Yarrowia lipolytica: one gene and its partner. Each later gene encodes a partner of the first gene's protein in a complex. Links are inferred from orthologs where the notes say so. Each region holds a gene or a part of one and is shown in the gene's direction. Other genes may lie near its edges.

Evidence for each region. Proteins that work in one complex are often made in the same cells at the same time.
Region 2: YALI1_F10633g (region 1) and YALI1_E30725g share a complex: the UniProt entries of both Saccharomyces cerevisiae proteins name them as parts of the M-Pol II complex. The link is inferred for Yarrowia lipolytica from reciprocal best matches to the Saccharomyces cerevisiae genes HOC1 and MNN10.

Annotation. Positions count from the first base shown.
Region 1 is NC_090775.1:1,061,581-1,064,753, reverse strand, and holds YALI1_F10633g (uncharacterized protein), read left to right. Parts: upstream 1-1,432; coding exon 1,433-2,626; downstream 2,627-3,173. Other genes in the region: YALI1_F10652g (uncharacterized protein), read left to right, coding at 1-333; YALI1_F10616g (uncharacterized protein), read left to right, coding at 3,101-3,173. UniProt on the Saccharomyces cerevisiae protein: The M-Pol II complex possesses alpha-1,6-mannosyltransferase activity and is probably involved in the elongation of the mannan backbone of N-linked glycans on cell wall and periplasmic proteins.
Region 2 is NC_090774.1:3,071,642-3,074,178, forward strand, and holds YALI1_E30725g (uncharacterized protein), read left to right. Parts: upstream 1-888; coding exon 889-1,935; downstream 1,936-2,537. Other genes in the region: YALI1_E30743g (uncharacterized protein), read right to left, coding at 2,362-2,537. UniProt on the Saccharomyces cerevisiae protein: Required for polarized growth and efficient budding. The M-Pol II complex possesses alpha-1,6-mannosyltransferase activity and is probably involved in the elongation of the mannan backbone of N-linked glycans on cell wall and periplasmic proteins.

The DNA of each region.
Region 1 (3,173 bases):
ATGCACGAGTGGACCAAGGCTGGAATCGACATGCTCATCACCCCGGTTCTGCCGGGAGCTGCCTTCAAGTTTGGAACTTGCAACTACTGGGGATACACAGCGTACTGGAATCTGGCGGATTACACTTCCGTGTCAGTCCCTTACTCGTCTGTCAAGGCTTCCGACAAGCCTGTGGAGGACTTCAAGCCCCGAAACAAGCTAGATGCCGAATGGCAGGCGTTGTATTCTCCCGAGACGTATGAAGGAGCTCCTCTTTCTATCCAGTTGATTGCTCCTCGAATGCAGGATGAGGTGGTTGTTGAGGCCTTAAAGTTGTTTTCCGATATCAATTAACGAATAGAACCAATACAGACAGTATATTAGTACAACAAAGCAACCAAGTAATGTGTAACCAATGACCGTTGAGCGTTATCTTACTCACTTTCAGTATGTCATAAGTTGGAACTTGCACAATATTGTCACAGTGAAATGATCCAAATCTATTCAAAGCTGAGATCACGTGACCACACAATGGGCACGTGACATTACCCCTTATTTTCTAGTTCCTTGTAGGCTGTACAAGTCAACAGTTGTTCCTACATGTATGATGCAGCACAGCCAGCTGGCGCGGCACAACTTTGTTGGCTGCGTCATACTCGTACAAGTACTGTAGCTCCGAGGTTGTTTTGGCAATAGAACGGCTGAATGGCTGAGTAATGATCTCCTTGTTTTTGGGTCTTTGGGATCTGTTTCGTTACATTGTAATGTTACAACAAGTTGTTATAGGTTGTATACGCACTGTAAGACACAGGTAATAGGACAGGCGAAATGAACGCTATTGGTTTAACTGTGTGATGCTGCTTAGTTTATGATGATGGACTTTGAATAATGTGATATTGTTTATACCGTTAGAATCTTCACAATTGGGGTATTTAATTGAACTATTTTTCCTGTCGCTATCACGTCTCTAGCACCCATTGATGTCGCCTTTTTATCGCTGTCACCTATAATATATGAAGAGGGTCTATTTTTGGGAGTTTTTATTCCTGTCGACTTTTTGCATCTGCGGACTTTCTTTTCTTATTTTTTTTTTTCTTAATTTTTTTTTTTTATGAACCGTTTTTTGCTCTCGGTGTGTGCCTTTATGTTTCTTTTGCGTGAGATGGGTGCAATACAACATTCGTAGGCGAGAGGTATAAGTAGTTACCAGTACATGTTGAAGTAGATTTAATGACAGAATGAATGCAACGAGGTGGCTACAACATCCTCAAAATATAAATAGCCATCCAATCCCTCTTATCGTGTTAATCTCTCGCATGTTACTTCATGTTAATTGTCTCGGAGAAGACGCACACACACACACACCACGCTACACACAAACTCGCGTAACTTTACACGTACATCAACTCTAGTGACATCGCACGTCGACACCCACTCGATACTTCGTCACACCATGGCTCTCATCACAGCTCGACGGGTGATTTTGCTGGGGCTCGCGGTCGCGACCGTGTGCTTCCTGTTTTTCGGGTCCAGTGAAAAAATTGCCCCCACGGTGCTACTGCCCGGCGATATGTCCGCTTTCGAAAACAAAATCTACAAGATGCGGGCGGAGACGGAAAAGGCGCTCAAGGAGCAGGAGGCAGCCGCGGCCAAGCGGTTCGATTCGTTCAACAAGAAGCTCAGCGAGCTGGAGACCGAAAACCGGGTGCTGGAGAAGGAGATCCAACGTCTTCGAACTCCTCCCCAGGGAGCGTCGCTCAGAGAAAAACTCGCATACACCTTCCCCTACGAGACGTACAAAAAGTTCCCTGCCTTCATCTGGCAGACGTGGAAGGACGAGATCACCGACGACACGCCCGACACGATCCGACAGCCGATCCGAACTTGGACGGAGAAGAACCCCAGCTTTGTCCACGAGGTGCTGACCGATGACGCAGCAGCAATGTTTGTACAGCACCTGTATGCTCAGATCCCTGAGGTGGTGGAGGCGTACAAGGCCATGCCTAAAAACATTCTGCGGGCCGACTTCTTCCGTTACCTGGTTCTGCTGGCTCGGGGAGGTGTCTACTCCGATGTCGACACTGAGGACCTCAAGCCCATCCCCAACTGGATCCCTGATGAGGTCTCCCCTTCCACTGTTGGTCTGATTGTCGGTATTGAGGCCGATCCCGACCGACCCGACTGGAAGGAGTGGTACGCTCGACGAATCCAGCTGTGCCAGTGGACAATCCAGGCCAAACCCGGTCACCCCGTTCTGCGAGACATTGTGGCCCGAATCGTGGAGAAGACGCTGGCCAAGAAGCGAAGTGGTACTCTGGAGATGGCTGGCGACAAGACCGATGGCAGCGAGATCATGGACTGGACCGGGCCCGGAGTGTGGACCGACTCTGTCTTCGACTACTTCAACGACCGAAAGAAGTCGGGACTCAAGTCGCAGGTCGGCATCAAGGACTTTTTCAACCTCAAGACCCCCAAGCACGTGTCGGACGTGTTGGTTCTGCCCGTGACGTCGTTCTCTCCCGGTGTCGACCAGTTTGGCGCCAAAGATACAGACGACCCGCTGGCCTTTGTCAAGCATCTGTTTTCCGGTTCATGGAAGCCCGAGGACGAGAGAATGAACCAGAACCAGCCGCAGGTCAATCAGTAGCTAGCATAATAGATTTGGGAAGAGTGAGAGAGATTCGAGGGCAAAGGTCCGAGAGTCTCCAATCAACAGTAGGAGGAGAGGCGAGCCTGTGTTCCGACCGTGGGAACTTACAGAACTGTGCAAGATCAAGCCTCGATCAACTCAGTAATTCTTGCCCGGCATTGCGACTTACACATACAGTACATACAAGTATACAGAGTTCTTCCATATTACTTGAGAACAGAGATACAGCTAAAAGCGAGTCTCGAGAGTGTTGTAAATTTCTATTGGTGGATGAAGGGTCTCATTTGGTACGAAAGGATGGTCTTTGATATTCATATTGCTACCTTTTATACAGTAGCTATTTGAAAGAGTAAAAAATGGCGTATATCAGGAGGATGTGAATTAATCTGAATTGTTTGGTTTTCTCACGATTTAACCTCCATTATTTCATACAAATGCGATAGATTTAATAGGAGCTTTCCGACCTCAACAATGTGTTATTGTGGCAAATTGCTTCTCTCAGTTGACTCTCATTCAGTTGACTCTCATTCCGGCTTGCCCTCTA
Region 2 (2,537 bases), on another chromosome or scaffold:
ACCTCACCCAGTCATCAGCTCGCACATACTCAGGACGATCCTTGCCTCGGAGCAGTGCTTGTAACTACAGTATGTACTCGTAGTGAAAAAGGTTGCCCCTGAAGATGGACAAGAGGATGCACAAGCGCACAAAGAAAAGTAGGGGTGGCACGTGTGAGTGGATGTGACTAAGCAGTTGTGAGGTGGTTACAGTCAAGCCTGGTTCGATGTGAAAGCTCACGTGCATCGTACCATTGCCTTGTCTACAACCTCTTCTCTACTGTAGCTACAAGTACTCGTTAAGCATGCCCACCAGCCGTGTACCCACTTTGAAGCCGTCAGTGGAGCTTAAAGATGAAAAGAAGTAACTGGTCCACATGAGCATATTTATCGTCGTGAATAACAATAGGTTGTAGTGATGGACGAGGTGGAGATGTGGGTTGGTATTGTGCAGCGATCACTCAATACTACTGGTACGGTTCTAGTCTTCATCTTCTATGGTCCTGCTCCTCGTACCTGTCCTTACATCGCTATCATCTCATTATCTCAGCGTCACCATGACGTATGTAGTATGCACACGGTTTTTGGGACGAAAAATTCTGTGACGTTGAACATGTAAGGCGCCAGATATACACGTAATACTGTACCAGATTGAGGAGCAAGAGAGAGCGGTAATTATTCTCACGGAAATGACTTACGTCGTCCACGTAGTATGTATGCTCTTCCAAGACATGTCCCAGGTTCACCAAGTCCATTAGCTACAAATACAGCGATGCTGGTCCAACTGAAATAAAGTACGCACGTCCACCACACGCATGTCTACCAAGCTACTGTACATTAACTCTCATCACCAAAAAGACAACATCAACACATACACTTCACCACGACAAACACAAAAACACACACACAATGAGCCAGAACTGGAGGCGCAAATCGTCCGTGTCGGCGTGGGACAAGCCCGAGGGCGGGTGGTCGCGACGGCAACGAGGAGGGATCATCGCCACGGTGGGAGGCTTCATCGAGGGTTTGGCTACGGCCCTGATACGGCGCAAAATCTTTGTCGTCATTTTTTTGCTGCTGACCCTGCTGTCCTTCTTCACAGCCGTGCCATTTGTGCCGCACTTCAACTGGGGCTCGGGCAAGTACGTGATTATCCTGGCTGCCAACGAGGGTGGAGGAGTCATGCACTGGAAGGGAGCCAAAGAGTGGGCCATCGAGCGAAGCAGCATTGAAAACAAGCGAGAATACGCCGAGCGCCACGGCTACCATCTTGCCGTCAAGGACGTGAGTCTCAAGAAGAGATACTCTCACGAGTGGAGAGAGTCGTGGCAGAAGGTCGACATCATCAAGGAGACCATGCGCCAGTTCCCCAACGCCGAGTGGTTCTGGTGGCTCGATCTGCATACGCTCATCATGGAGCCCCAGATCTCGCTGGATCAGCACATTTTCAACAACCTCTACAATGAGACCTACCGAGACCTAACTGGCCAATTCAACCCTTTGAACTTACCCGTGCAGATCCCCTACGTGGACTACAACCAGCCCGTCGACCTGATTGTCACCCAGGACTGCGGAGGCTTCAATCTGGGTTCCTTCTTCATTCGACGGTCCGACTGGACCGACAAGCTGCTCGATCTGTGGTGGGACCCTGTCTTCTATGAACAGAGGCACATGGAGTGGGAGCACAAGGAGCAGGACGCGCTGGAGTACCTGTTCACGAACCAGCCCTGGATCCGAGGACGGGTCGGCTTTCTGCCCCTCAGAAAAATCAACGGTCTGCCTCCCGGAGCTTGTTCCGAGATGGAGAATGACAAGCAGCTGTTCTACGACGAGAAGTCACGAGACTTCCTTGTCAACATGGCCGGCTGTGAATGGGGACGAGACTGCTGGAAGGAGATGGAGTCGTACAAGGCGAAGGCTGTCGAGCTGCATCGAAAGAAGTGGTGGTTGTTTTAGGCGATAAGCGAGCCTTTTTCAGCGAAGCGAGAAAGCGTACGAGAGGAACGAGCCACAGCAGAGCTATTAGATACATATTTGTATATATGGAGATAGTATTATAGAATCAAATATGATGTACAAGAGATGAATGTTGAGTGTGTAGAGCGAATATGTGGCTCACGTGTCTTCTAAATATCTGAGACATACAGAAACTACCCAGCCGTATCCAGTAGAATGGCTCGCTTTGTCCTGACCCTGTTTTGGTTGTAATACCGAACAGTGTACTCATGGTGAATAATGAAAATGCATGTATTTAGCTACCATTCCATCTATAAGCAGCCATGAGTGTGAAGTCTCTTAGCAAAGTCGACTACTGACCGCTCATTTTATGTACTTTAAAGCTCTTTTGAAGTTCCTTTCAAGGTCTGCTGGAACTCTTCATCTTCAACTCACCAAGTTGTTCTCCTCCTGATCCTTCTGGGTCGCCTGGACAGCGAGGATCTTCTTCTTGAGGTACTCGTTACGCTCCTCTCGAAGAGCCAGGTAGGTGAAGAAGCTGAAGAGCAGATCTAGAAAGACGATAGAGAAGACCATCGAGTTGGACACGTATATACTGTTTC